Ovis aries: one gene and its partners. The protein of the gene in region 1 interacts with the protein of each later gene in a pairwise test. Links are inferred from orthologs where the notes say so. Each region holds a gene or a part of one and is shown on either strand. Other genes may lie near its edges.

Evidence for each region.
Region 2: the proteins of AAMP (region 1) and AEN interact in binary tests that used the Homo sapiens proteins (3 or more experiments, as listed by UniProt). The link is inferred for Ovis aries from reciprocal best matches to the Homo sapiens genes AAMP and AEN.
Region 3: the proteins of AAMP (region 1) and BHLHE40 interact in a two-hybrid assay, tested with the Homo sapiens proteins (2 studies listed by BioGRID and IntAct). The link is inferred for Ovis aries from reciprocal best matches to the Homo sapiens genes AAMP and BHLHE40.

What each region holds. Positions count from the first base shown.
Region 1 is NC_056055.1:220,305,151-220,311,736, forward strand, and holds the start of AAMP (angio-associated migratory cell protein), read right to left. Parts: upstream 3,590-6,586; 5' UTR 3,539-3,589; coding exon 3,418-3,538; intron 2,950-3,417; coding exon 2,794-2,949; intron 2,146-2,793; coding exon 2,026-2,145; intron 1,513-2,025; coding exon 1,373-1,512; intron 1,119-1,372; coding exon 974-1,118; intron 695-973; coding exon 611-694; intron 511-610; coding exon 395-510; intron 238-394; coding exon 134-237; intron 9-133; coding exon 1-8. UniProt on the Homo sapiens protein: Plays a role in angiogenesis and cell migration. In smooth muscle cell migration, may act through the RhoA pathway.
Region 2 is NC_056071.1:18,976,526-18,983,039, forward strand, and holds the start of AEN (apoptosis-enhancing nuclease), read left to right. Parts: upstream 1-2,172; 5' UTR 2,173-3,982; coding exon 3,983-4,101; intron 4,102-6,514. UniProt on the Homo sapiens protein: Exonuclease with activity against single- and double-stranded DNA and RNA. Mediates p53-induced apoptosis.
Region 3 is NC_056072.1:21,379,866-21,386,379, reverse strand, and holds BHLHE40 (class E basic helix-loop-helix protein 40), read left to right. Parts: upstream 1-2,178; coding exon 2,179-2,258; exon of another isoform or gene 2,259-2,419; coding exon 2,420-2,489; exon of another isoform or gene 2,490-2,751; coding exon 2,752-2,859; intron 2,860-3,863; coding exon 3,864-3,987; intron 3,988-5,269; coding exon 5,270-6,126; downstream 6,127-6,514. UniProt on the Homo sapiens protein: Transcriptional repressor involved in the regulation of the circadian rhythm by negatively regulating the activity of the clock genes and clock-controlled genes.

The DNA of each region.
Region 1 (6,586 bases):
GAGGCATCCTGGGCAGAAGAGAGCATCACGAAGGCTCGTGGGGGGACCTGCACTTGGTGCCTCTGTCCTCTCTGGCCCTCCACCCCCCTCCCCCAAGCCCGTGTGCCCAGGCTGAGGCCGCGCTCACACTCACACACTGCAGAAGCCCAAGGACTCCACAGAGTTGGACTCACTCTCCTCCCCTTCTCCCAGGTTCGGCTGGGAGGCCACAGTCTCGGGTCTGAAAACGCCCACCACCTATGAGCCAGAGGACAGGATCAGAAGAGGGCCTGGAAACGTGATTCTCCAGTAAGAGAAGAAAACCACTGGGGTGAGGAGGCTGAGTGAAAAAAAAGAAGAAACGGAGACGCAGAAAGCAGAGGGCCCCACAGCCAGACTTCCAGGTCCCACTCACCTTGCCAGTGGTGGCACTGACCAGCTTGGCCTGGCAGTCTACAGAGCCAGTGAGGATCAGGCTGCCATCCTGGTTGGTGGCGACACAGGTCAGAGGGCCCTGGTGACCCTCGGTCCCTAGGATGAAGCAGGGAGGAAAAGTCAGGCTTCATCTTGACCCAGGTCTCGGCCCTTTCCCCACAAAGGCCTAGGTTAACACCTTCCCCACCTCCGATACCTTTTAGTACGTGGATAGGGTTTCCCTGCTTCAGGTCCCAAATCCTGATGGTGCCATCTTCATAACCAACTACAGCACGCTTCCCTAAAGGATCAGAGATGCAGGTGAAGAGTAGACAACCAGCACAGACACATCAGCACATCAGGCAAGAGAAGAGGGAGGCAGACAAGGAAGCGAGGGAGCAGACAGTGCCCCAAGGAAGGCCCAGTTCCGGGTGAGAAAGGGGGAGCTGTTTGCTCTGGTCCTGGGAGGTCCCTGCTCCCAACAGCAGACCTCGGAGTTTGCTGACCATGGCCCAGGAGGGTGCCAGGAAGGTATGGAACCCAGACCCCACGTGTCCACACTCAGGAATGCCACTCTCACCATCAGGGAGGACTCGGCCACAGGTGGCCGGGCAGTTGGGGCCCTGGAAGGTCTTGCAGTCACCAGTCGGAACCTTCCACATCCAGGTGTTGCCATCAGCCGTGCCCGCCAGGAGGACAGGTGCCCGAGGGTGCCACTCCATCCACTGGGCAGAGACAAAGGCTCAACAGGGGTACCCCCTACCCCATCTTGCCTAGAAGCCTGCCCCCGGAACTCCACCAAGCTCTCCCTGCTACCGAGTCAGTGGGGACATCCCAGGTGACGGGCCCAGACACTCCTGCTATCCTCTGGGAGAGCACTGGCTCAGAGCTGGCTTGATCCGTTCAAGGTGGCATGGGCCCCTGAGCTCTCCCCACTCCACTCGGCCCTCAGAGTTGAATCCTACTGTGACAGTCTCACCTCTAGATCTCCTGCTTCAAACGACCAGACCTCCTCCTTTGTGTCCACCTGCCACACTTTTAAGAGACCACTCATGTCTCCTGTGGCCACTAGGGTAGAGTCATGGCTGAAACCAGCACAAGTCACGGAGTCTTTATGGCCTGCAGAGAGTGAGCAGAAAGAGAAGAGAATGTCGGGGTACCTGGTGCTGGGGATACAGGACCCAGGTGTCCAGCCCCCAGAAAGTACCAGCTTGGAAAAACAGGATGAGTCCCCACAGAACAGGTAACCAAACTCAGAGCTGCTGCAGAGGCCAACACCCCCAGCTCTCCCCAGGCAAGACACTGCTGGGCCCCCACTTGACCGTGTGTAGCCCAGACTTATGTCTTCCCCATTCTGTCCACATCACACCTCTGCCTGAAATATCCACAGCCTCCTTCCCACCCCCATTCTCCGTCACTAGTGCCGCCTCCTCCAACTCTTTCCCTGACTCCCTTGGCCAATCAGCGTCTCCCTCCCCCACGCCCACAAAAGACTAGGCTATTCTTTGGGGCTCTTGGGATAAGCATAGAGCTGGCAAAACAGAGGTCAATAAATGGCTGTTGGATGTACAACCACTGCAGGCCAGCCCCCTAAGACCTCCAAAGAGGCAGGACTTCATCGAGCCCCCTCACCTGCACACTCAAAGAGCAGTTCCCCATCGCTGAGCCTCCACACAAAGGCTTTGTCGTCTTCGCCTCCTGTCACTGCCAAGGTGTTGGTCTTGGGGTCCAGGCTCACACAGAACACTGATGCTGTCCCAAGAGATATTCCAAGAGTAAGGAAGTGGGGATCCCACCTAGGTCCCGTCCTTCAGGACCTTTGGGGAGCCCACCCCGTTCCACCTAAAGCAACATGTCTTTCTTCCTAGAAAAGAAGAGTGCATCCAAGCTCTTCTAAGTTTCAAGCATTCAGTTGTTGAAGTCCTCCCCAAGCTTGCCAAATTCTAAGTCCCTCCCCAGGACACATCACCCTCCTGCGCTCTTCCCTTCACCCCACACTTCTGTGGTGGACAAGAGGAGGGGACGTGTGTAGGGCTTACAGTTCTCAGAGTGGGATGCCACCAGGTTGGGGGCTGAGTGAGGAAAGCCTGTGTTACTGGTTCCTTATCAAAAGTTAATATTTAAGAGGTTTATCCATAAGGTACTATTATCCCTAATTCAGAGTAAAGGAACTTTTATCAATGACAACTTTTTAAAAGGAAACTAAAGCCTAGAGACGTCAATAAAGATCATAAACAACCAAATAGCAGAGACAGGATTTGAACCCAAGTGTGTCTCAACCGACTCCAGGAGCCAACAGCTCCTCCACCACAAAGGCAACATTTTCCCACCGCTACACAGCGGATGATGTTCTAATGTCCACCTGGACTGATCTTAGGACAGCTCTCCCCAGGGACCTACCAGAATGCAATGCAAAAGTGACCTCGCTGTCGTCGGGGCCCTCCATGCTGCCGACCACCCCTTCCTGGGGTTCCAGGACCCAGCCCTCCTCATTGCCCTCTTCTTCTTCCTCTTCCTCGAAGTCCACATCTTCCATCTCCTGGACCAGATCGTCTGCTTTGGGGAGAGGGTTAACAGACGGTGTGCGGCAGGCGGGAAGAGGGATGGCAAGTGTGGGGAGGCCCGAGGCTGGGGTGGTCATGTGGCGAGAGGGCAAGGTGAGGTCAGACAGGAGGGGTGAAGCGGGGAGGGGGTGAGAGGCGGCAGGGAGGAGGGGGCGTGCGGAACGAAGGACCGGAGAGCTCTGAGGATCTGGGGTTGGCCAGAGACCGTGTGGGAAGGGAGGACCGAAGGAATGATGGGAAGGGGGTGTGTGAGGGGAAGGGCCAGGGGAGGCGTCAGGGGAACCCCCACCCCGGGCCAGGCCTGAGAACTAAGTGTGGGGCTGGGGGAGAGGGGAAGGGCGAAGGAGGTAAGTAGGAATGATAGGTGGGGTGGGGTGGGGAGCAGAGGGGGGAAAAGCCGGGGTCAAAAGCCAGGGGTAAGAGCCTCTTGTCCCATGGCCTGAGGATCCGCAGCTCTTACCCGGGTCCGGAGGACCAGGGTCCAGTTCTACCACCTCGATAATCTCTTCGTCACCATGGAAGCTTAGAGTCTCCAACGGGGGGGTGTCAGCAGCGGCCCCGCTCTCCGATTCGGACTCCATGCGGCGCAAGCGGCGGACCCACTTCTCTGGGCCCAAACGCCTCCCAGAGTCAGCTCTGCGCGACGACGCGGAACTCGGGCCCCTCCTCCCGGGAGGAAGTAGGCGTAGGCGACTCCCCGGCAGGGAGAGCGACGGCCTCTTGACCAATAGCGAAAGGGGTGGACCGGCTGAGTCACCAATCACAGGGCAGAAGCGGGAGACGAGGCCGAGGCGTGGAGAGGAGAACCCAAACTCTGCCCGACCTGACTCCGCCCCCAACAGGAGGGAAACAAGCGAGTGTGCGCGCTTCCGGGCTCTCCTGGGAAGAGTAGTTCTCTTGGGTACGCTGCTTGGGCTTCTGGGAGTTGTAGTTTCTGATCTGTAGGCCGGACGGATACAGCGGGGGAGGCCCCTTACGCAAACTACAATTCCCAGCGGGGACTGCGGTGAAGGGGGGGTGGGATCTGAACATGGCGGCGGTGGTAGCTGCTACGGCGCTGAAGGGCCGAGGGGCGAGAAATGCCCGCGTTCTCCGGGGTAAGGAGAGGGACCCCGGGGAGGGCGGGACTGGAGGGGATACCCTTTTTTTTCACATCCCGCTAAGCTGTAGCAGGAGTTCAGGGCTGTCGATTGTTGCCCGCATCCCTCTGCAGGATTTTAGAGTCTGGGGGCTAAAAGGTGCTCTTTAAAAGTCAACCAGTCCATCCCTCAGCCTACGACACCTCTGGGGTCTTGCACGGAAAGGGAGCCTCAAGGAAGCCTTTTAGACCCCCGCGCTCCAGGTGTTTCACACTCACCGCAGTGCAGAGGAAAAGGGCCCTGGGCTTCTGGAGGCTTGGGTTCTAGCCCCGGATAATTAGCAGTTTGACCTTGGGCGAAGCGGTTCGTCTCTTGGGGCTTCAGTTTCCTCTTCTATAAAATGAGGGGATGGAGTAGACTACCTTTAAGCTCCCCCTCCAGTGCTAACATTCTGCAGTTTGCAAACCATTTCTCGGATTTTCTTTCACACGTCTCACGCGAGCCCCACTGCAGTCCCTTCACATCCTGAGGTCTGAGGAGATGAAGAACAGCGAAGCTCGCTCTCCCGGCACTAGGGTGATGAGCCTGCAGTGACGTGGAAGCGGCTTTCAAAGGTGCCACCTCGATGGCGATTTTCCCATTTCCCTCTGGACTCTCTCAGGCACCTGTTACTCCAAATTGCAGTCACTCCCCTTCCTCAGATCTCAACCAGTCCTCCCTAGGCTTTCTTCTCCTCTTCTCTTAACTGACCTTCCTTGCCTCCATTCACAGGGATTCTCTCAGGAGCCACTGCTAACAAGGCTTCCCAGAACAGGAGCCGGGCACTGCAAAGCCACAGCTCCCCAGAGTGCAAGGAGGAGCCTGAGCCCCTCTCCCCTGAGCTGGAATACATCCCCAGAAAGAGGGGCAAGAACCCCATGAAAGCTGTGGGACTAGCCTGGTAAGTTTTAACTAACTCTTTGCCCACCAATGGGGAGTGGCACCAGGGGCGGGGGGCGGCGGGGGGGGGGGGGGACCCAGAAACTTCTCCAAGTTTCAGGTGATGAACTGAATCCAGGGTTGCCAGGACAGAATGGCTGGGTGTGAGGACTGGAATCTCAGAGGACTGGAGCAGGGGAGGGAGGTGACAAAGTCTGTGAAACTGGAGAGAGAGTGGGTTTTCTGTGCACTGAGCTGAGCTAATCTGATTCAGATTTGGGTCTATGGCCTCATCCTCTCTTTTGGGAGCTTGGGGCAGGACCCAGTTGAGGTTTTAATTGAGATCATGCAAGATTATGTTAGTTACACAGTAGTAGCACCTATAAGTCAGAGAATGCAATGGCAACACACTCCAGTACTTTTGCCTGGCAAATCCCATGAATGGAGGAGCCTGGTAGGCTGCAGTCCATGGGGTTACTAGGAGTCGGACACGACTGAGCGACTTCACTTTCACTTTTCACTTTTATGCATTGGAGAAGGAAATGGCAACCCACTCCAGTGTTCTTGCCTGGAGAATCCCAGAGAGGGAGGAGCCTGGTGGGCTGCCATCTATGGGGTCGCACAGAGTCGGACACGACTGAAGCGAGTTAGCAGCAGCACCTTTAAGTAAGATGTTCAGTGTATTGTTATTTGGATTTGATTCTGATCTTAATACTGTTGTTCAGTTGCTCGGTCATGTCTGACTCTTTGCGACCCCATGGACTGGAGCATGCCAGGCTTGAGCAATATTAAAAGCAGGGAGAAATTAATATTTTTTTCCAGCACCCGAGGTGTGCCAGTCCTTTACTGTGTATTGTTTTAGTCTTTCTGAGATAAATAGGACATCCCTATTTTACAGAGGAGGGAACTGAGGCTCAGAGCTGGGTTTTCACCAGGTCTTATAACTCCACGCCCTTTCTCCATGCTGAAGTGCCTCCCACATAGCAGTTGCTCAGGTTAAGGAGAGTCAGGGATGGGGTGTGGGGCGGTTTAGGCAGAGGGAATTTTTGCCAGGACTTGGAGAGGGAAAGAGGTTGGGCTTTCTGGAGAACCCTGCACAGTTGTTACGGCAGGCTGGCAGGGTTCATGCTAGGGAGTGTCAGACTAAAGGGAAAAGGAGTGACAGGTGGGCAAAGACCCAACCACAAGGCCTTTTGTGCCGTGCCTGGGAGTTTGAACTTGGCCAGGAAGTGATGGAGAACTGTTGCGGAGTTCTGAGCGGGGCAGTGGCAGGATCCGATTCATGCGGTGCCTTCCAGCAGCCAGCACTGAAGCTGAATAGATGCGAGGAGTATTACAGTGTTGGTGCAGTTGATGAAGCTGGAATGAGGTTCTGCCCAGCTCCTCTGGCTGAGGCTCGGCCCCTCCCCAAATCCCATGCACATCTCCCCACCCCTAGGGCCATCGGCTTCCCCTGTGGTATCCTCCTCTTCATCCTCACCAAGCGGGAAGTGGACAAGGACCGTTTGAAGCAGATGAAGGCTCGGCAGAACATGCGGGCTTCCAACACGGGCGAGTATGAGAGCCAGAGGTTCAGGGCCTCCTCCCGTCATGCCCCATCTCCTGAAGCTGGGTCGGGGGTGCAGTCCTGAG
Region 2 (6,514 bases), on another chromosome or scaffold:
TTTGTTTTTATGGATGTAAGCACTAATAAACATTGTTCAGATAAAAGACAGAAGTGGAAGGAAGTTTTCCTAGCAATGACTCTCAATTCTTTTGATTCCTGATAATTATCCAGCCTCAAAACAATGTTTTTAATGACCTATTAGCTGACAACATGATTAAATCCTCCTTGGATCATAGCAAAAGCAAAGAATCGGAAACCAATAGACTGGTAGAAGGGTTTCTTGCCAGTCCTGGATCATAGCCCGTTGTTGTTGCTGTTCAGTTGCTGAGTTGTGTCCAGCTCTCTTGTGACCCCATGTAGCCTACCAGACTCCTCTGTCTATAAGATTTCCCAGCAAGAATACTGAAGTGGGTTGCCATTTCTCTCTCCAGGGGATCTTCCTGATCCAGGTATAGAACTCATGTCTTCTGCTTGGCAGATGATTCCTTACTGCTGAGCCACTTGGGAAACCCAATTCATATTCAGAATTGGGAGACTCCTTTATTCCTAGGGCAATGTTGCAGAGCAAAGTTTAGACTGGGTGTGTGTCTGTGACTTTCCTTTGTAAAGTGGGAGACAGCTGGTTATACAAGGGGAGAGGGAAGCTGGACTTCAAAGACTCCAGTTCCATTCCCAGGTCTAGTCCCACAGGAGTCGAGGTTCTGGTAACTGACTCTCTTGAACCCCTTCCTGTCCCCAGAGTTGCCTCTGACAAAGTCACCTTGTCTGAAAACAGCTACTCTGCATTCCTTCCCTTCTCTGTCCTCTCAACGCTGCCTCCTAAGGAGCTCAGGAATCTGTCCCAGGCTGTTTATCCTCCCTACCTAGCACTCTGGTTGGTCTTCCCACATGGTGCAGTGGTAAAGAATCTGCCTGCCAAGGCAGGAACACAAGAGATGCAGGTTTGATCCCTGTGTCGGCAAGATCTCTGGAGAAGGAAATGGCAACCCACTCCAGTATTCTTGCCTGGGAAACCCTGTGGACAGAGGAGCTGGTGGGTTACCGTCTACGGGTTGCAAAGAGTCAAACACAGCTGAGCAGGCACACACACGTGCACCACTTTGGCCATTAGGATCTTATCCTGCCGTAGTGTCCACAGTCACCTGCTCCCACTCCTTTTTCTCCAGGCATGGCCCATTCCTCTCATACTGCAGCCAGGGTGAGCTCCCCCAAATGTAGATCTGCTGGTGAACCAGCTCTGGCTGAAACTCTTTCCATCTCCTCCAAACCATCAAGAATCTGAGTAGGAATGCTTATCTCTCCAGCGGCCTTATCCTTTGTCCTGCTTCCCTTAAATCTATATTCTGGTCAGAAATAGGCCCAGGTACCTCTGACCCTCTCGTTACCTTGCGATGGCACTGCTGCTTGCAAAATGGAGCTAGAAGGAATCTGACTTCATAGGTAAGGGTCTTGGTTTGGATTTGAGCTGTTTTTCCTTAATTTCTTTAAATGTCAGTCTCCCTAATTGTGAAACAGAGATAATATCTCAAAGAGTTCCTCAGACTAAACAGGTGTTTTGCCTGGCATACTGTTAATGCTCAATAATAAATGCAAGCTCTTTATTATTGTTTTTATTACTCACGTTGCAGTAAGTTAGCTGTTAACTTCTGTTACTGTGCCAAACTGTGAGCAACTAGAATCTCCACCAACGAAGCTTATTCTATGTATCCCACTGCGGAGCCCATGGCAGGAACGTATTACTTATGAATAAAGTACTGCAAAAGGACCAATGAAAAAAATTGCTCCGAAGAAGCAATCCTAATTTTAAAAAATCTTTCTTTAGTGCTTATCAGGTGTATTACTCTTTCACCCAGTCTCCTCAACCCTGGAGGAGGAAGGGGCCAACTTTTTCAAATGTGGGTGTGTACACAGTAAGTCATTCTGCTTTTAGTGGCACGGAGCTCATAAGAGTCCACATCCTCACCCAGGGAGGGGGATGAATTGGAGCCTGGGGACCTAGGTGGGAGCGGACCCTGGCGAGAAAAGAGGCCACAGTCCCCTCCAGTCGGCTTTAAAATTTTCCGCGGGTGGGGCCCGCCTGGGCACAAACCACGCCCCTCTTGGAGTCCCCGCCCCTTATGCGCCCAGTGCCAACCGGCAGCCAGCCAGGCTTCCGACCAATCAGAAAAGGCCTTAGGCGGGAGCTGCCGTCCAGCTAGCCAATAGGCGGGCGGCCGCAGCGGGCTTGCCCGGGCGTGTAGCGGCTGCCGGCTGCCTGGACGCCACGTGCTGGCGTGAGGGGACTCGTGGGGCTTTCAGGTGATCTCGGGGACCCTGCCGGGGATCTCGGGGTGGGGCTGGCTGGCGCGACATGTCCAGGCCGCGGAGGGCCCCCGCGAGGTGTGTCCGCCCCCGACTTGTGGCCGGGGACTCCCGGCCGGGCCGGCTCTGCTCCCGGGGCCCCGGGAGTGCAGGCCCGGCCCGGGGCGCCTCTTGGCCCGCATCGCGCCCTGCTCTAGGGTCTCGGGTCTGAGTGGGTGGCGCTGGGCAGTGGGGCCGGGCCTGGTGGGCGTTGGCCGGGCAACCGCGACCCCTGAGTGACCAGTGCTTCAGTCCCTCCCTGGTGAGGCCGGGCCGCCCGCAAGTCACTCCCCGGAAAGCCGGCGGCCATGGGAGACTGAGCAGGATCTCCTCGGACTTTCTTGTCTCATTTTAACTTTTCAGCAGCACAGGGGATCTCATCGAGCCGGCTTTTCTCAAATTCCGGCGATTATTAGTGTCCTGTTGCGGGGGGCGGGGCCGCGCAGTCTGAAATAGATTCGAGGGCCCTTTTCCCCAAATGGCAGTTGAGAAGGTGTGGGGGTAGGCTTGGAAATCAGACTTTTTAAACAGACTTCTTAATTGTTTCTGATAATGAGCTGCTTTTTGGAGGTGGGTTGCCTGGAGAATCCCAGGGATGGGGGAGCCTGGTGGGCTGCCGTCTTGGGGTCGCACAGAGTCGGGAACGACTGAAGTGACTTAGCAGCAGCAGCAGCAGCAACCTAGTTCGACGCTGGGTTTAATAAACCCTAGTTTTAAGTTAGGTCAGCCATCCCCAACTTTTATTGGCACCAGGGACCGGTTTGGAAGACAAATTTTCCCATGGACTGGGAAGGCAGGGTGGATGGTTTCTGGATAATTCAAGTGCCTTATGGTTCTTTCTCATTTAATGGGGCTGCTGATCTGACAGGAGGTACTGGTCTGTGGCCCAGAGGTTGGGGACCCCTGAGTTAGGAGACAGTGTCTTGGTCCTGTTCATCTAGCTCTTTAGTGCCAGAGCAGGGTCTAGACTGCCCATCTTCCTGATAGCCCACAAGTTGGTGGCCCTGAGGCCACTGGCGATTCTGACTTTGGAGTTCCTTTGCCCAAAGGCCTGTTGGCTGCTGATTCAGATGTTGGTTCTGGGCGGGAGAGAGATTTGTTTGCTTCACTGAAACATTTGTTGTTTGAGCGAAGCTTCTGCCTAGCTTCACTGAGCTCCGTGTGGCAGCCCAAGATGAGGACTGTGTGCTCTTGATGATTAACTGTTGGTTCTGATGTGTCAGCTAAGTCAGGACATGTAGAAGAGGACTGCTTTCATTTCTTGGAACAAAGAGCCCCGAGACCTTTTTTCCCCCCTCCTCCATGTGGCTCTGCGACCCCACGGACCTCCAGGCTCCTCTGTCCGTGGGATTTCCCAGGCAAGGATAACTGGAATGAGTTGCCATTTCCTTCTCCAGGAGATCTTTCCAACCCAGGGATCCTGCATCTCCTGCATTGGCAGGTGAATTCTTTACCACCATGCCACCAATTTCTGGCCTCTTTGAAACTTTGTCAACAGGTTTAGGGAGGCCATCGACCCTAGTCCAGGCCTCCTGACCTTGCAGGGTCCTTGGCCATCTCAGAGAAGGACAAGGTCCCTCCTCCCCTACAGAAGGCAGTTATTAGCGGCTCTCTGTCTTCTTAGACCTCATTCTCCCCATTACTGGGCCAAGGCAAGTTGAGGTTCTGTATCTGTCAGCCTCAGTAGGTGACTTGTGAATATGAAGGTGATTATAGTTGAGAGCCCCTTTAAAAAGGAGAAGGGTTCTCGGGGGAAGGGATCAGGAAGCAGAGGGAGGATGTCATGGAGACTCCTGTCTGGCCCAGGCATCACCGCATGGTAGGTAGTTCATCTCTCCTCCCATTTCTCTTAATCTCTGCTGCCCTTGTGCAGAGTCCTATGTTCTTTCTCCAACTCTCTTCCTTTAAGGCAATTGTGATCCTGTCCCTCTCTCCCTAAAACTCTGGAGATTGATGGTTCCCACCTACCTTTGGATGAAGCCCCAACTTTGACTTTTCTCCAGGGACAGTTCTCCCTGACTATCCCCGTCTCCTCGCCCCTACCTCCTTTCTTTCCAGTTGCTGCATCCAAATCCTTGCTTTCCCACCATGAGTCTGTCCTGCCTCTTGGACTTTGTGTCCATGTTTTTTCCTGTCTGCATGCCCTTCCCTTCCTGGGCTGACTGGTAGACCTTTCTGAAACCCTTCAAAGTATCTCCTCCACTGCCAGGCCTTCTCTAACTTAGCGCTTCTGCTTTTTAAATACCTGGCCTGATGACAGTCATGGGTCCTTCCATATATTTATGTGTGTGTGTGGGTGTATGCAGGGGGTTTATAATATATACATAAAATAAATGTAAATATGTAGCGTAATGGGGATTTGGCCGCAATAAAAATATATACTAACCAGTTGAAAGCCTAGGATACGACACTGTACTGACTCCACAGAAAATCCCTTTGATACTATGAAGAATAGTTGATTCAGGAGTTAAGAATGAGCAGCTCAATTTTAATCAGATGTACTAGGAAACAGCATTTTCATGAATACAGTTGCAATTAAAATTGGTCACCTATAAAGATTTTAAAGGCTATATCAAAGTATACAGTCTAGATGAAAGATGGATTAATGAACCAGGAGACTGAAATAATGGGGTGGGGAAGGGAAGGATTGGGAGTTTGGGATTAGCAAATGCAAATTATTACAAATAGGATGGATAAACAAGTATAGATAGCACTGCTGCTGCTGCTTAGATGCTCAGTCATGTCCAACTCTTTGTGACCCCATGGACTACAGCACGCCAGGTTCCTCTGTCCATGGGATTTTCCTGGCAATAATACTGGAGTGGGTTGCCATGCCCTCCTCCAGGGGATCTTCAGGACCAAGGGATAGAACCCTCGCCTCCTGCATTGCAGGTGGATTTTTTTTAATCACTGACCCACTGGGGAAGCCCCCTGTATAGCGCAGGGAACTATATTCAATATCCTGTGATAAATCATAATGGAAAAGCACATGAAAAGGAATATTTGTGTGTGTAACTGATCACTTTGTTATACAGCTGAAGTTAATAGCAACACTGTAAATCAGTTATACTCCAGTAACTTTTAAAATAATAATAATTTTTAAAAATACACATGGATTTTACCATTTCCTATTCACAAGGGAAGGGTGGGTTTACATGCAAAGAACCTGAATTGGTTAGGTACTTATTCTGAGCTGAGTTAGTCCCTGCTCTGACTACTTCAAAGCGCTGGTTTTGTGGTCTGTTCAAAATCTACCAGCTGACTTATGACTTAGCACAGCAAATGAGATGAGGCTTCCCAAGCTGCATCCTTGACGATTTGGAAGATGCCAGTCTTTGCATGGGGTTTGTAAACCCACAGGAGCAAACAGCTGTTTCCTGTGACCATGGTGTGTGACAGCATCTCCTGTCAACCCAGCGTTCAGGCATGGAGAGCGTGGAGGAGGGACCACGGAAGTCTACAGCACTGTACATCAGGGCTCTTTTCTGTTTCTCCTGTTTAGATTTGAGCTGGTTTACCAGCACACACCTATGCCTGTAGGCCTCCATGATTACACTACAAAGTCCAACTATGTTAAATGTTTGTAGACAGTGTTATGACGAGTGAATTAGAAAGTCAGTTGATAGATATGTCATTTTGGTTAACACATATCAAAAATACAACTGTTGTGGGCTTCCTGTGAGATAGTTTCTCTAGGTTCTACTGTGGGTAGGAAAGGTTCTACCTTTACACTGCATAAAGCTTTTGTTTGTTTATCCAAAATGGGATTTCGTATATATGTAACATCTCTGTAATCTTTATTTTCTCATTTTGTTTATTTTCTCTTAAACCTCTCTAAAAGTTTTTCATAATTTTTAGTTTAAGCTAACAATGTTGGAGGTAGGCTATGGTGTGGAATTTGAAAGCCTGGGTTCTGGGTTCACATCAGCCTTTGTCTGTTTATTAATTGGATGAATTACTAAGCCTTCATGCCTCACCTTTCGCACCTACAACATGGGGATAATAATACCTTTCTGAGTTGTGGGAAAGATTGAGTGATTCCATGTAAAGTACTTAAGACAGTGATTTTGCAGGTGATGTTGACCCTATGAGTGCAGTTATCATTAAAGCAGGTCCTTGGCTTTGTCTGGGGTCTTGAGACACTGTACAGCAGTTGCGCACTGGCTGGAGGGAGCGGGTGGGGGGGCAGGGCTGGCCGGGCCTGTTCCTCACCCTGCCCCTCTGCCCTGTTT
Region 3 (6,514 bases), on another chromosome or scaffold:
GTCAGTGAAATCCCCAGCCAGGCCTTATTTTAGTCATGAATTTCCACTGGCTCCCTCCTCTGACAGCATCAGCGCTGCTCACAGAGCGGGCTTGGAGTTTCAGCTGTTTTCCCTGCTCCAGGCAGAGTTAGAAGGTCACAGAGGCCGGACTTTTCCGGGGGAGTGGGTGGGGGCCTCGGGCGGCCTCAGAGAGATTGCAGAGATCTGGAGCCGCTTGGAGGAGGCCCTTCTGCCCCAGGCTCCGGGCGATGGGTTAACGTCTCCCCTCTCCTCCTCTGCCCAGATATTGTGGTTCACATTAAATTTTTAAAAATAATTTTTTTTAATACCAAAAAAATTTTTTTAAGCCCACACTTTCTATCTTATCTTCTCCCTTCTCTTCACCAGCAGCACCGATACAATTTTCCCAGTACTGCCTTCCCCTCATTTCCCAGGGTAAGCCCTCCTCAGAGGTTCCTGTGAATTCAAGAGCAGCATCTGTGTTCCATTCACCTACAGTGTATCTGGCAGCGTATCTAAGCACAACGCCGGGCACAGGGTAGGGGGCTCAACCAACACTTGTCGAGTGAATGAACGCTAAGACGTCAGCGTGATGGGCAGTTTTTCCAAGTCTCTCTTTTCCATCCTGCCCCGGCTGCAGACCGCACACTGCGCCGCAGAAGTCCCCGGCAGGGGGAGATGGACGACCCCGACCCCCGGGAGCTCCTGTGCTCGGGGGTCTTGGTCCCCGGCCAGGGCAGAAGGGCGCTCTGTCAGGAGCTCTGCGGCCCAAGCCCAGGCCAGGTGAAGTGTCACGCCCCGCGCTGCCGCAGGGCAAGCGCCGCTGCCGCGGTTGTGTAACGTTGCAGCCCAAGGGGAGGGGACCCGGGCGCCTCTGCTCCAGTGGGGGCAGAGGAGGGAGGAAACGCAGGGCACCGCGCCCGGTCTCTTTCTGTGCTTGATCAGCCTAAGTGTGGGCCGGGGAGGGGGGTGGGGGCACTGGGGCACCCTGGGGGGTGCGCAAGTGAGTGTCCGCCGGCACGCAGACTGCGCCCCGGGAGCACAGCTCCAAAGGAGCCAGGGACCGCGGCGCACAGCCTAGCGGGTCAGGTGCGCGCAGCGTGCTCCGCGGCGGCCTCGCCTGCCCCTGCGCTTGGCTGCCAGCCCGCTTCCCATGGGGTGACATCCGCCCCGCCCTCCTCGGCCCCTCCCCACGGCGGGCGATTCCTGGACTCGGGGCCGAGGGGTGGGGGCAGGGAAGCCGGCGCGGAAAGAAACCCCAGCCTCTGGGGAAGGCAGGGGGGCCGGGCGACTCCCTCTGCTGCGCGCTGGTTCCTCCGAGCGGGCGCGCGGGGGGAGGAGGAGGAAGAGGGTTGGGCTGGAGCGAGCGAGGGGATATTCCTCTCCCGGCTTGAGTCAGACGCGGGCGGATCCGTCCTCCCCCGTTCCCTCCCAGGAGACGGGAACTTACTTCATTTCCCTGGGGCAGGTTCGCCCACGTTACCAACCTCCCCCCACCACCTCCCCGGCTCCCTAGCCCCTTCCAGCTTCCGCGCCCCTCGCCCAGCTAGGCAGGACCCAGACTGCCCTGCCAACCCCCTCTTCGGGGAAAGGCAGCCGCAGACACCTGGGGGCCGGGGCTGGGGGGTGGGGGCTCCCTCGCAGCCGCGGGAGCGTTGTCCAACACGTGAGACTCATGTGATGAAGCCGGGGGAGGGCGGGCAGGTCGCTCCTTCCCTCCCCGGCAGCGGCCAGACGTGCCTGGAGTCACAGGGTAGAACACGTAGCTCCAACCCACCCACTCGCTCCCATTTAACCCAGCCCGCAGCCTCTCCATTACTCCTCGGCTCTCCCCCACCATCCCCCCCCCCACTCCGCCCTAACCGCACCCCCCCTCCCTCCCGCCTCCCCGCCCGCCCCACTTCTCATTCACTTGGCTCGCACCGTGCAGACGGCACTGGGAGCACACACCGCCAGTCTGTGCGCAGAGCCGGAGCCAGAGGCCGCGGGTACACCATGCACGCCCCCAACTGAAGCAGCACCTCAAAGCCGCAGCTCTTCGCAGCCCAGCGGATTTCAGAGAGCTCTGACTCAGTGGAAGCCCTGCGGAGAGACCCCCGAAACCTCCTCCACGACAGTCCTCACCCGACGCTCCGCCACTGCAGACAGGAGCGCAGAGTGGCCCCGGCTCGCAGCGCAATGGAGCGGATCCCCAGCGCGCAACCGCCCCCCACTTGCCTGCCCAAAGCGCCAGGACTGGAGCCCGGAGACCTACCAGGGTAAGTTGGCACCCCTGGCCCCTTCAAGCCTCAACTCCAGTCCTGCCTTCTACGCGGCTTTCAACTCCAAGTAGTTCTGGGTGCATCCGGGGGTTCTTGCCAGTCAGGGCTCCTGCAACCGATGCGCAAGTCATGACCCTTCCTCGTCCCTCTCCCTGCAGGATGGATTTTGCCCATATGTACCAAGTGTACAAGTCGAGGCGGGGAATAAAGCGGAGCGAGGACAGCAAGGTAAGAGCACCGCGCCCCTGTGGACCCCAGGCCCTCGCACGCGCTGAGTTTCCAATAAAAGTTTTCTCACTTTAACGTTGGAGGGAGGTATGCAAGGTGTGGGCCCTGTGCCTCTACTGAGTGGCTTGGAGAAGAAGGGGCAGATAGGGTTCTGGGTGTGACTCTGCTCCACTGCCGAGACTCTTCTGCCGCGGGGTGGGAAAGGAGAAGCGCTTCTCACCTCCTTCCTCCCGCGCCCACCATCTCTCCGTGCGCTTTGCAGGAAACCTACAAACTGCCGCACCGGCTCATCGAGAAAAAGAGACGTGACCGGATTAACGAGTGCATCGCCCAGCTGAAGGATCTCCTCCCCGAACATCTCAAACTTACAGTAAGTGAGAAGCTGGCCCCTCTCCAAACCAGCTCCTCTGCCCAGAGGGCGGGCGAGGGTCACCCGCCGCCTGCAGGCTCCGCCAGGAACTGCAGACCAGATGGCTGGATCCTAGCTAGTGGCTGGCTCTGTTTGGGGGTACCCTTCTCCAGTCTCAGAATTTTCTGGCAACCTCGTGCAAATAAGATAAGAATCATTTGTACTTGTCCAGCTTGGCACCAACACCAGCCGGCCTTCCTTTGCTAGAGTTTAAGGTGATTCTCCGGGTTCTCCTTTTCTCACATTGAGCAAATCCAGCAACCCACTTTTTTTTTTTACCCCCTTCCCCACATCCCTTTTTAAAATAAGAGGACTTGTTTTGATGTGTCTTTTTTTTTTTTTTTTTTACGTCCTGTCCTTTCTTGGCGATTGTCAATAGCTTACTAGATTGGCAACCTTTGGTTGGGGAAAGAAGAGAAAAATAGTATTTAGGAGAAAATAGTATTTAGGAAGGAACAAAAAAGCGTAGATGAGCTAGAAGTTATGACAGGGTGTCAGGAAAGAAACTAGGGAAAGCCTCTTGGCTGCCAGACACAGTAGAAGTCTCTACTAGGGTTGACACCACTGCAGAGAAATGTTATCTCTGGATTCCCCTGAGTTAAGGTCAGCAACGGCTGCTGGAAAAATTTATCTGTCAAAGCTTTCTCCTGAGCTAGCTGCTGCTTCCAAAATGCCTCCAAAGATGGGGTACACTTGTTTGCTGTCCTCTAATCAAAAATATATGCATATATACATATTTTTAAACATCATCTATAAACTTAAAACTTAATTTAGCCAACCAGGAACAGACCTTTTTATCCCCCTTTAGAGACATTCGGTGGTGGTGGTTTAGTCGCTTAGTGGTGTCTGACTCTTGCGACCCCATGAAGTGTAGCCCAGGCGACTGATGAATCTCATGGCTAATTAGTATCCCAGAGGTGGGACTTCTCTGAGCTCACTGCTGACGGAGGCTCTTTTTATTCCAGACTTTGGGTCACTTGGAAAAAGCAGTGGTTCTTGAACTTACCTTGAAGCATGTGAAAGCATTAACAAACCTAATTGATCAACAACAGCAGAAAATCATTGCCCTGCAGAGCGGTCTGCAAGCTGGTGAGTACCATGTTTGGCTATCATCTCCTTAGAGTTCTAGCACAAATAGAGAGCCTGTAAGCTCAACATCTGGTGTAAGAAACATTCCCGCAACAAATTGCTTATGCATGTTAGTTGGGGGAGATGCTGTTTTATCTTTCCTAAAAGGTCAGACTTTTCATTTGGAATGCTGCTGTGTGCCACCTGGCATGAATACATATTAGTCAAATGGTAAAATATTTCTGTGGCATTTTGGCTTAAGAGTTTCTGGGGTTCTGGGAGTCCCCTCCACTTTGAAAATGCCAAGGCACCTATAATTTGCATCGTGGGTGTTTTACAGTTGTTTTCCTTAGCCCTGTTTCATTGGAGAATAAATCATGGGTATGCCCCAGTGTTTTAATGTTTCTCCACTTCCTTATCCCTCGGTGTGTGGTATGAGCCTGGCAAGATGACAGCAGTAGTTTTTCCTGCATTTCATGTGGTTCCCTGAATAGCCACTAGGTATCTCGGTGAATTACACAATCTAACGAAACCACTGAAGTTTCATCACCCATTTCTACGGACTTCCAGAGAATCACAGTCATCTAACCGTCTGGTCTCACCCATTCCAAATAATACTGTACAAACGAGGGAGAAATTCCTCTACCCACTCCCTCGTTCTTCTCTCCTCTCCTCTCCAAACCAGGACAATGAGGAAGTCGTTCTGCCAGTTGCCTCATTGAAAACAGAAAGATGGTCATACCTAACTTCCTGGGGATCATGGATACACTATATGAGAAAAACCTAGAAATAGCCTTTAAATATAGCAGCATGACTGCAACTTGTATAAGCCATTGAAAATAAGCGTACTTTAGGTGACGTGGTTCCTTCATTCTCATTTTTTGACTGGTCACTGTCCATCTCACTATGGTAAGATGATGTTCTGTAAATTGACTCTGGTTATGAGCACACTAGGATGATTATGGCTGTGTTACTTATAACGAAAACTCAAGAATTCCTTAGAAATGCAACAAGAGGGGAAACCGTCTGTCTCTGTCAAATGTGGTCTATGCCTATGATATTACACAGCCATTACAAATCATATTTTATCTCTGAGAGGTAGAATTATGGATGATTTTTAGTTTAATCTTTATACTTTTCAGTGTAATTCAAATTTCCCCTGATCATATTACTCTTGGAGTTAGAAATACAATCAGCAAATGCTATTAACAAAAAGGAAAGCCCCGGGGTCTTTGGAACCTAGGTATCCATGTGAACCACAGCGCCTTCTGAAATGTCTCTCTTTGCATCTGTGTTGATCCAGGTGATCTGTCGGGAAGAAATGTGGAGGCAGGCCAAGAGATGTTCTGCTCAGGTTTCCAGACATGTGCCCGGGAGGTGCTTCAGTACCTGGCCAAGCATGAGAATACTCGGGACCTGAAATCTTCACAGCTTGTCACCCACCTCCACCGTGTGGTCTCCGAGCTTCTACAGGGCGGTACTTCCAGGAAGCCGTCAGACCCAGCCCCCAAAGCAATGGACTTCAAGGAGAAACCCAGCTCCCTGGCCAAAGGCTCCGAAGGCCCAGGCAAAAACTGTGTGCCAGTCATCCAGCGAACTTTCGCCCACTCGAGTGGCGAGCAGAGTGGCAGTGATACGGACACAGACAGCGGCTACGGAGGAGAATCGGAGAAGAGTGAGCTGCGTGTCGAGCAGCCGTACTTCAAAAGCGATCATGGACGCAGATTCACCATGGGAGAAAGGATCAGTGCTATTAAGCAAGAATCCGAAGAACCCCCCATGAAAAAGAGCAGAATGCAGCTCTCTGATGATGAAGGCCCTTTCACTAGCACTGACCTGATCAGCTCCCCGTTCCTGGGCCCACACCCGCACCAGCCTCCGTTCTGCCTGCCCTTCTACCTGATCCCACCGTCAGCAACTGCCTACTTGCCCATGCTGGAGAAGTGCTGGTACCCCACGTCTGTCCCAGTGTTATACCCGGGCCTCAACGCCTCTGCCGCAGCCCTCAGCAGCTTCATGAACCCAGACAAGATCTCGGCCCCCTTGCTTATGCCCCAGAGACTCCCTTCTCCCCTGCCCTCCCATCCTGCCATCGACTCTTCTGCCCTGCTCCAAGCTCTGAAGCAGATCCCCCCTTTAAACTTAGAAACCAAAGACTAAACTATTTAGGGGATCCTGCTGCTTCACTTTCCTTCCTCCCTACTTCCAAAAAAAAAAAAAATGTGTTTGTGAGTGCAGCGAGATTGTTTCAGTGTGTATGCCAAGATCATCTGAGGCAGGGAGAGAAGATTCAGGTGTGTGTGTGTATGTGTGTGTGTGTGTGTGTGCGTGTGCGCGCGTGCGTGCCTGACTATGCATTGTGTGTTGGTATGGGACGTTAAAGCTCCTTTGGGCGTAGGGAACTTGTGAAGGATTGCCTGACATCAGGAGACTTAGGGGGGATTGTCTCAGACCTCTGGGCCTTTCCCTCCCAGAGAGTAGCCCCTTCTGATATAAAGCAGCTGAATTTCCAAAAGCTGCAAAGTCTTGGTCTGTGAGTCAGTCTCCA